Linked DNA regions of Drosophila melanogaster. The protein of the gene in region 2 interacts with the protein of the main gene of each other region in a pairwise test. Each region holds a gene or a part of one and is shown on either strand. Other genes may lie near its edges.

Region 1 (6,264 bases), about 11 Mb from region 2:
ATTGCTGCCCCCGGAGTGTGTCCGATGGCAACCAACTCAAGTTGAAATTGGTCAAAAGTTTAACATATTTGCGTGTGTGTGTCCAAGTGGCGCACGGGTATGATGGGGGGGTAGAGCAGTTGGTCGTTCCGGTCGTTTTTGGCGCATTTTCGGGGAATAAACGACCCCGCAGCATATACGCTTTTGTTTTTGTCGAGTGGCCTGCTCCCAGCAATTTTGGAATTTTGGAATTTAAGTACGCAAACGGGCAGCTCAAGCGTTTAATCGTTTAATAAAAGTAAACAAAAAATTGGCGCTTACTTGAATAAAGTTAAAAACTTCATTTGGGTTTCAAATTATAAAAGTAATCAACTTCACTATACATAATTCAACAATAACTCTTATAAAAACTAAATAATAATAGTAATAATAAATAATAATAATAATAATAATAATAATAAACAATAAGACTAACAATAAATAATAATGAGTATTTCAACAATTAATAAAGCTCTTCCTTTAGATGCATAAAATATATTTACTGCTAGTTAACATTACACATTCAAAGTAATTCATATTTCGATTTCATTTCAATATTTGACTAAACTTTAACTATCAGATTTAGTTTATCTACGAACTAAGCTTGTGCTTCAGAGTAGAGGTACAGAATTGTTGCACGAGTATGTATTAGATAATCTCATAAGGAACGTATTACGACTAAGGCCTCGAGGCGAAAGGCAGCGCCTAAGATCTACCGCAGCATTGCAGGGTAAGTAATGGTTATATCGTTACTTCGATATCCGACAGCGCACTGGATAACAATCTAATCGGGTTAATACAAAGGCGTCGCACAACCGTAGGAAAGCTTTGACTAGCACTTTGAGATTCGAGTAAATGACTAAATAGATTTCAACGTGGGTAGGCGGCCATTAGGAAGCCTAGCTTTGGTTAGCATCTCAGTAGTTTACTGCAACACACAAACGGCGGAGGCGCCGCTATATTGGTTATTCAAGCGTCGACGCATTCCCTCCAGATAAATGTCGCGACTGAAGAGCCCAGCAGCCAAGGGAATTCTGAAGAAAAAGGAAAGTTCATTAGAATCCTATTTTCTTTGTAATAATTCCAATTACTCACGCATCGGTTCCTGCACGTATGAGTGTTCGAAAAAGCGCCCAAACTGGCTTGTGGTCCGAGGTGGTTATCGATGGCACCGAGTCATAGAGCAGACATTGGACATGCGGCTGCGTGGGTGTGGATACACCAGGCACTAGGGTCTGCCGACGGATGACTAGTCCCTGCATTTGGCGGTACTTGTAGAGAATGCGATCCGTGTAGGCGGGAGCTCGCTGCTTCGACGAGGTATCAAAGTTCTGGCTGCCCGGATCGTACTTGTACGTGGGTGGAAATGTGATGTTCGCCTCCATAAATCCTCGGAAGGCGGCGCCATCAGCCAGAACGGAAGTCAACTGATCCGTGTGCATGTAACCGTGCGGTAAATGCGACGGCAGCGGGAACTTGGTGTTCTGAATCCATTCCAGCAGCTTTTCACGCGGCTCACCCAGTCGAAAGTTAAGATCGCCGCACCAGAAGACATTGTCAAAGTTCTGCGTGACATCTTTGTTCTTATGCCGCTGATTGGGCAAATTGCGAGGCAAGTCCAGAGCATTGATTATCCGCTTAACGTCCGACACACGCTCTTTAACCTTCTGCTGGTGCGCCGTTAAATGCGAGGTCACAAACAGCATGGAAGTGCCAAACAGGCAAAAGGATATGGCCACGGCACCCTTTGTCCGAAAGGCGGAGCCCGTGCGCACCGACATAGATGCGTCCTCGGGAACGGAGCAGTACCAGATCAAGTCCCGTCGCATATACACAGCCAGGTGGAGGGTACCCAGAGTTGTGGCATGGAAGAGCACGTGAGAGGGACCTAGGGTCTCCTGAATGGTGACCTCCCACTCGAAGCGGTCTGGGGTGGACTCCTGTGTGCCCATTACCACAATGTCGGGCACGTGCTCCACATTGGCTGGCAGCACAAAATCATTAAGTTGTCTGCAATAAAAAGAATAATTGAGATATGAACTCATAAGCTTTTAGACTTAATTTATTAAATTTACATACTTGGGTGGACTGTGGCCATTCATATTCCAAGTTCCCACAAAGACGGTAATCTCCTTTTGCGGCAGCACGCGGCTTAGCTCACTGGGACCCAAAAGGGAAGTTGATCCCAGCCTGCCATCCAGGTAACTTCGCTCCCTGGCGTTATCCGCCGGGATCAGATTCAATGCATGTGCCGCCATTAAAGTCTGGCGAGCCAGATTAGATCCCGAACCCTGTCTTTGGAGTGTCATGTTCTCGTGCGACATAAACCTCACGCCTGGCTGCTCCTCTATGTGTTCTATTCCATCTGGCTGAGTGGCTATATTCGGCGAGGACATGTGCTGTGGTGTGGTGGCTCTTTTAATGTCACCAGGTTCTGTGGCTGCCTGAAGAGGGGGTAACTCTTGTCCAGGTGGATAGAGCTTTAAACGCAGTCGGGATCGGCAGGCTGATACTGCCATGGGTCGAATGGGCGAGCGATTTTGAAGGCTTTCGCTCCGTGCCACCGAAGCGCTGGCCGCAGCAGGGCTGCAGTGGGCAAAGAAGGTTTTGCTGGCCACCGGTGATTCTGGCGCACTGGCACACTCACTGGACGGACGCGGTCGGTGTGAGGATCCTTCGCTGGAGTGCAGCGAGCCCGAGTTGTTGTCCACCATGCTCCAACTTAGCGAGAGGTTATCGCGCCGCAGAACACTGTTGCTATCCGGTATGGAGTTATAACGCACGGTCACCGGCGGTGTCATCGGTTTCTTTTCCGCCTTGCAGCACAGACTGAACTGGTGACTAAATCTATTGTGATTGGGTGAGCGATGCTTGGGCGACTTGCGCCGCATCACCACGTCGGCTCCTCCATCGCTTTGGGAACCAGCATCCGTACTGTGCCGGTGCGAGTGATTCTTTCCTTTCGAGGAACTTGGCTTTGCACGCCTGTGGAAGCTGATCAGCCCGCTGTGCGACTTCTCCAGCGGCAGCGTTTGGCTTTTGAGGGTGCTCCCATTGTTATTGACATGGTTTGCAGACGTATCTGCATTGCACTTGGCGAAACTGACATCGTATTGGCCACAGGCGGACACGGGTCTCTGTTGTAATCTTGGCGATTCGGGTGTCACGGGATGTGGCTCCACCTTACTAGGTCGCTTGCTCAGCAAACCGAACAGGGAGCTCGCGGTCTTGTGACCGGATCTGGGACTGCTGGTGGAACTGGTTATCCGTTCCTCACTTCCCGCGCTGCTGTGCTGCATGTTGGCTTTAGTCCGAACGAAATGATTCTATCATCTAAGGTGAAGGTGCTAAGTGGTTATCATGCCCCCCTTTTGTCAAGTTAATTCGCTCTATCTGCCGGATCTCTCGAACCGAGCTCATTGTGCGATGGCCTCTGGCTGCCGGCCATATAAATAGTAAAGCCAGACGTCATCGAGCGAGCACAATGCAAATGCGACTTTGGTCCGGCGTTCTGGCTGGTCGCAATGCAAATTATTTTGGGCTCGGCGATGACGTACACGAAATCAGGCTAATTGGGCTGACTGGCGGCGATTGCGTGTGCTGTTCTGTAAGATTTTAATGAAGGTAAACATTTAGGCGGGTTGGTAATACCAAGGGTATAATACACTTACTAACCTGCAAGCAACTAAATAAAAAAAACACATATGTGGGCAGATCCTTTGGGGCGAGAGAGCTGAAAGGATTCAGAAAATCAATATGCTGGGTAATAACTGTGGCGACACCGTCGCGATATATAAAATGGGGAGGATTGTGGGCGATTTGGGGGGTGGTTGGTCGCGGAAGGGTGGTCTTTGGCGACGACGTAACAACATTGGCATGCTGCGGCGCCCACGCATCCAAGCACTGAGCACTCAGCATCTGAACGTCTGAACACAAGCACAATATCCGTCGTCTGCTGGCTGATTCGATTCTCTGGGATCGAGAGATTTATAATTAGCAGACCATTGTTCCCGTCAGCGCAGCCTTGTTGTTCTTGTGTTGTTGGCCTACGTCTAGCATAAAAGCAGCAACAATAGCACATAGCACACATGCGATATTCAAGTTCAGGTTCAGGTGCGCATTGATTTCGCTCTTGGTGTGCTTTTCATGTTCCGCACTGGTACGCACTACCCTTCCACGCTGCTGTCACCTATGCGATTTATGTAATTTTTGTATGATTTACCGCGTTCCAATGTTGTTTACACCCAAAAACTCCGAGCAAGTGCGGAACTTGTCGTGGGAACTGCGATTTAGGGGTGGCAAAAGTGGGCAGCCAACTGCCGATAAGTGGGAGCACGTATCGATAGGTGCGGGCGGGGGTGTTTCAGTGGCTGGGTTGTGACACGATAGATTTAAAGAAATATTTCTTAAATATTAATTAAGATTTGTATTTAATTGTGTTTCCAGCAAAACGTACCAATGTAATATTTATTAGGTAAACATACATAACAAAGCGCTATATATTCAATACAAAATTGTGGGCCAAGTACCCTTCAAAAATTTATTAAGAGGAATTTATAACATTATTATTAAATGTACTTTATTATTTTTTACAATTATTTAATAAACCGTTTCTTATATTAAAAAAAATAATAAGGTTTAATTAACTGTATTATACAGCCACACTAGAAGTGCAATCGAAATCGACTTGCTATCGGTGCTCGTAAGGCGCATCACTAGTATTTCGTTTCGGTCGGTACGCGGTTCAGCGTTTTTGTTCAACGGATTAGCGCAAGTTAAGCACGATGGCGGCCCAGACGATACTGTTTGATTTCACGCTGGACAAGGACAAGACGGCGGATGAGGAGGCGCGCCTCCAGGTGGCCAAAATCCTGCGTAACGAGCTGGAGCAGCTGTTCCCCCAGCTGGAGCTGGCCTACTCGATGGAGTCGCCGGAAAACGGCTACTTTGCGGTGCTGCACGAGAACAAGGACACGGTGATTACCTGCCGCATCTTCCAGCACGGCCTGCTGACGCTCAACGTGGAGTACTTCCTGCCCGATGGCAAGGAGCCGAGCATATCCTTCGACGTACGTATTCAGTGCAATTTAGATTCCTTTAAAAAACTCAAAAAACAAGCAAGCAAACACCCGACAGCAGCACCACCACCCACATCTTTCTTACCCTCCCAGTTTCCGTGTCTCGGCTGATTAGTTGGGGAAAGGGTTTTCCACCCACCGGGTAAAATTGATTTTCCGCGCACTTGTACCCGAGTGTTGTTGCTTCATCATACATACATGTGGGGGTGTGTGCATGGCAAGTGGGCAACCATGTGGGTGGGTTGATTGGTTGTGTGTGTGAGTGTGTTCCTGACCACTCGGCGAGCTCAAATGGCCGGCACTTGGTCAGGGTCAGTTCGTCCGTCCTTGGCCTCAAGTGATGGCTGCCCCCATCCCAGCACTTTCACCAGTTTCTATTATCTAACACCTCTGAAGCACACATCACATACATAGCGATTTCAGCTGGGCTTTGCTAGGTTAACTTGTCGTTCCGGTCCCGTTTCTATGCTTTTCACATTTGGCCGGAGCACGTGGGTTGGGTTCGACTCGCGATCTATTGATTGGCGCCCCTTTGGGGCATGGTACCCATACTAATAAGAAGAAAAACACCCGGAATATGCGGCCCTTATTACAGAAACCAGATTTCAGGTTACACCCTTAGGCACGCATTATTTCATTTGATACTTAAACTTTCTTATACCAGTTTACTCTACTTACGCATGCACATATAAACAAACCTAAGTCAACAAAATGACTGTTGATACCACAAATCTGAGGGTTTTCAAAATGACAACCAGTATTTGTTTGTAAAACAACAAAGAATATAAAATTTGATAGAATATTTCAATTTCTTCCATCATTTGTTTAAGTACATCTAAAATGCTAGAGAAAATGTCCCATGTACATATGCCTACAGCTACGGTAAGCTAAATAGCATCAAAAAAATTAAATTATGTCAAAAAGTCTAAAATTGTTTTGTTCTATAACTATAGCTTTAACAAAATCCCAAGTAAAATTTTTATAAAATTATATTTTTATACAATGATGGAGTTAGTTAGGATATAATCTCAACAAACCTTTGTACTTTATAAATAATTTAATCAAGTAATCGAACAAAGAAATCAACCTAAACCAACTTTTCTATAGGAGTAACTAATATTATCAGACCCATTATTATTTCCTCGTATCATTTGAAATGCTATATCTT
Region 2 (4,895 bases):
TACGCCAAGGCCGTAAAGGACCGAGTGCAAACATCTGGAAACGGCAAGAGCAGCTTCCACTGTAGGCAAGGTAAAGCCAGCAAGGATGAGCAGGGCCAAGACAGGAATCCACATTTTGTCAGGAGAACTTTGAGAACCAATAATGACAACCAGGTCCAAGCACCCCAACTCGTCCTCCAGGTTTAGGCAGCGCACTAAACACAATAAGAACCACCCAAATTATTCGAATGCTCCTAAGAGAAGACATTCCTCGGACCGTTCGATAGGTCAAAGACGTCAACGTCTTAATTACGTTGTCCAAGAAACCTCCAAGACTAAAGACCCTAAGACCCCAAGCAGAAATACGAACAGGCAGCAAGGGCTTCAGTCGAAGAGATCGCTGAGTACGCTCCTAGCGACGACTCACTAAATTTTTTTGGGGACTCTCCCGGTTGCCGTTCATTGAACGACGGTTGCGTGGGAGAACTTTAAGAATGCTAATCGACTCCGACGCGGTAAAAAAATTACATTAAGCCCGTAAAGGAGCTAAAAAATGTAATGCCTGTCGCCCGCTCTCGGTAAGTTCAATACATGGCTCCATATTAAACAAAAGTGCTTAATGAAGGTTTTCAAGCACACCTCTCAATTTTGTCTATTGAAATCACTCAACTCGTTCGACGCTCTTATAGGCTTGGACACGGGCCGGAGTAAAGTTTAACCTAGCAGAATATTAGGGCGTTTATGAAAAACTTTACTATTTCATCTGCCCTAGCGCAAACTTAACTAATGTGAATGACATTGTTGTACCTGCCTCTATTAAATAGGAGTTCAAGAACACAATTTTGAGAGAAAAAAGCCCTTATCTACTTCAAATGACACCGCTGGTACATATATACATATATACATATATACATATATACATATATACATATATACATATATACATATATACATATATACATATATACATATATACATATATACATATATACATATATACATATATACATATATACATATATACATATATACATATATACATATATACATATATACATATATACATATATACATATATACATATATACATATATACATATATATATACATATATACATATATACATATATACATATATACATATATACATATATACATATATACATATATACATATATACATATATACATATATACATATATACATATATACATATATACATATATACATATATACATATATACATATATACATATATACATATATACATATATACATATATACATATATACATATATACATATATACATATATACATATATACATATATACATATATACATATATACATATATACATATATACATATATACATATATACATATATACATATATACATATATACATATATACATATATACATATATACATATATACATATATACATATATACATATATACATATATACATATATACATATATACATATATACATATATACATATATACATATATACATATATACATATATACATATATACATATATACATATATACATATATACATATATACATATATACATATATACATATATACATATATACATATATACATATATACATATATACATATATACATATATACATATATACATATATACATATATACATATATACATATATACATATATACATATATACATATATACATATATACATATATACATATATACATATATACATATATACATATATACATATATACATATATACATATATACATGGTGGTTATATAATATAATAATATAATATATAATATATTAGGAATATTATTATTCCAGCTATCGACTTAGTTATCGATACGACTAAGAGCTTTTAAAGCTGCAATGGGAAACTTTTAATTCGTCTTTTATTTAAAGCTTAGATGTTTTTCCTCCAGTTAGTAATTTTTATATAATGTTCTCTATTGGTGTAGTTGTGATTATGAAGTTAAATGAAGAACGAATTAAAGGGAGATGTAACCGAAATGCAGATGCCATCTGTATATTGGCGCAATAATGACGTAACTGGTTTATAAATACAATCGGTGTGTAACAAGAATTGTTGTAGTCTACTAAAATTATTTGTAGGAGTTTTACATACATATGTTTGTACGTACATATGTGCATAAATAGAAAAAGCACAAAAATTACTCAGTAAAATTCATTTAATATAAAATGTCATTTAAAGTATATTGTATAAATTATATGTACATAGTTACACATAGTACACACATACATACATAGTTACTGCACAAACGTTTGCACATGCACACATATATACATACATACATATGTCTATAAAGTGCACATGTGGACATTATTAAGTAAAATCTGAAAATTTAATAAATTCAAACGAACATTTCAAAGTGCATACACGGCAGATTCACTTTTCCTGGGATATTTAACCAGTGCCATAGCTCTTAAAGAAATAGTTCTAGTGTATGTACATATGACCATGTCCGTCTGTCAGTTTTTGGTTCGCATGGACGATCAGATTTCAAGACTGTGAAACCTACAGAAAGTAAAGATTGGGATTTAGAGTCATATGAATTAGATCCAGCCGTTTGTTTCAGATTGACATATGCCCACAAACAGGCCGAATTTTGAATTATCAGATTCCCGTTACTCAGCTAGTGTGATTGCGAACGCGAAATTTAAAAATTTTTCTGCGATAGCAAAAGATATTGTTGAATAAAATGCTTTTGAACAAAGCGATAGAAACATACAAGATTTTAATGTTTGAAAAATGTGGGTGTGGCAGTTTTGGACAGTTTTAGGGCGTTAGAAACATAGTTCATCATTCTAGCTTTTATAGTTCCTGAGATCTCGAAGTTCATACGTTCAGATGGACATGGCAAGGTCGATTCCGCTATTGATCCTGATCAAGAATATATATACTTTATATCGTGGGAAAAGATTCCTTCTAGTATAGTTTTACTCTACGAATAACGGGAGCCTATGCTAATAGACTTTTGCGTATATAAGATGATGTGCATATGATGACAAATGAGACAACATTGATAAGATCTCCTAAATATTTTGGTACATAAATAAGAACTGTAGTTCAATAAGGAATGATCATTTTTAGTTACTCGTCATGTCCTATGGAATTGGGAGTATCTTTTAGTTTAGTGTAAATATGGGACCACACGTCCAATTAACCGTAAAGTAAAAAAAATTTCATTTATTTTCCTTTGGCTCATACCTTTTTACTAATTTTATTGTTATCATGTTCTGTGTCGCATCACAAATGTAAAGTTTCTTTTGATTTTTTGCCGACTTAGATAGTCGGTTATCAGATGCCCATTAGTCAGTTAGTGGGAGTGCGAACGAGAAGGTTCAACATTCTTTTTGGCATATCAATAGAAAAAAATAGAAAAAAGCAAAAAAAAAAAAAAATTAATATACAAAAATTCAATTGCGTGGATGATGGTCTTTAGGGCGGATTGTGGAATTTAAAATGCGCGTGTCAAAAAAATGTTTTGCATACCGCTATAAATTTGCAAGACAAATAATAAAGTTACACAATTAATAAAAATTAATTTAACCGTATGTGTCTATTATGTGCCGCATCTGTATTTTATTATAACGAAACGAAAACAAGAGATAATTCTAGAGTCGAGTTCGCCGACTCAATGTCCGTCTGTCCGTATAAACGCCTTGATCTAAGAAACTTTAAAAGCTAGAGTTGAGATTAAGCATGCAGTTATCAGAGTCATAAACGCACATATTTGTTTGCAAATATTGCTACGTCCATTCTAGCCCACACTTACTTTAAAAAGTGTCAGTGAAATGTTACATGATTAAATGTATATTTCAATATACTTTTATAAAAGACCAGTGCTTGATTATGTATAATCTTGATTGTTATAATCAATCCGCCTAAGAAGGTCTTTAGTTATAGTTTACTATTTACGGAGTTGTTTGAAGGATTTTGTGTTTCGAACAAAAGTATTAGTATTTAATGCAGCATTTGATCAAACTGATATATAAAATTGATAAATTGGTTTTCTGTTTGCAGGATTTTATCACGTACAACATCAAAACAATTATATTACACTAATAAAAAAAAATGGATTTAACAGATCCATTATTAATTACAAAGTCTCAGCAAGTCAACAGCCAAGAAGTTGATTTTCAGAAAAAAACTGAGGATACATTTCCTTCAAAGTTTCATAAAAATAAAGCTAGTTGTGGACTTTTGGCTGTTAATGAAAGTCGCTGTACAGACCATCAATTACAATGTGAAAACAATATCGTGGGGTTGTCATTAGAAACTCAAATTGCAGAAAATTCTTCAATAAATGTTTCGAGAGAACTTAAACCTCACGATCACACTTTTCCGAAAGATAAACAAACTTTTAAACAAATATCAGATGAATTAAGGAAGTCATATGAAAATATTAATAAAGTTCAGAATATTAAAAAATCCCAGTCTGTAGAAAATTTTGAAAAATGTTCTGAAATAAATTTAGCCAATAAATGTTTATATACAAATTTAAATACAAGTCCTAAGGAAAGAAATGCCTTGGATAAGCAAGCAATGTTTATTAAATTTCATTCTCTGGAATTGTGCACTGATAAAGTATGTAGTCTACACATACATGAAAACTTTTGTACTGATATCCATAAATGCGTAGTCGATTCCGAATCGAATAAGCCAAACAAAATGAAAAAGTGCTTAGATTATGAAAGCGTTAAAAGGTATCCTTGTAAAGTTTCTAATGAACCACCTCAACATAATACGGCATCAAAACCTCAAATCTTATATGAGACTCGTCCTATCTACCCGAATGTACCGTATAGCCCTTATAGTACTCCTTTCAGTAGTCCTCGATCTAGTCGACGGAAACCAGCTTTTCGGGAGTCTAGAAGG

Evidence for each region. Proteins that work in one complex are often made in the same cells at the same time.
Region 1: the proteins of CG17698 (region 2) and INPP5E interact in a two-hybrid assay, tested with the Drosophila melanogaster proteins (one large-scale study listed by BioGRID).

Annotation. Positions count from the first base shown.
Region 1 is NT_037436.4:12,275,713-12,281,976, reverse strand, and holds INPP5E (inositol polyphosphate 5-phosphatase E), read right to left. Parts: upstream 4,323-6,264; 5' UTR 4,241-4,322; intron 3,752-4,240; 5' UTR 3,694-3,751; intron 3,624-3,693; 5' UTR 3,318-3,623; coding exon 2,098-3,317; intron 2,029-2,097; coding exon 1,114-2,028; intron 1,053-1,113; coding exon 944-1,052; 3' UTR 501-943; downstream 1-500. Other genes in the region: Sms (spermine synthase), read left to right, coding at 4,803-5,087.
Region 2 is NT_037436.4:23,736,121-23,741,015, forward strand, and holds the start of CG17698 (uncharacterized protein), read left to right. Parts: upstream 1-1,839; 5' UTR 1,840-2,064; intron 2,065-4,040; 5' UTR 4,041-4,091; coding exon 4,092-4,895.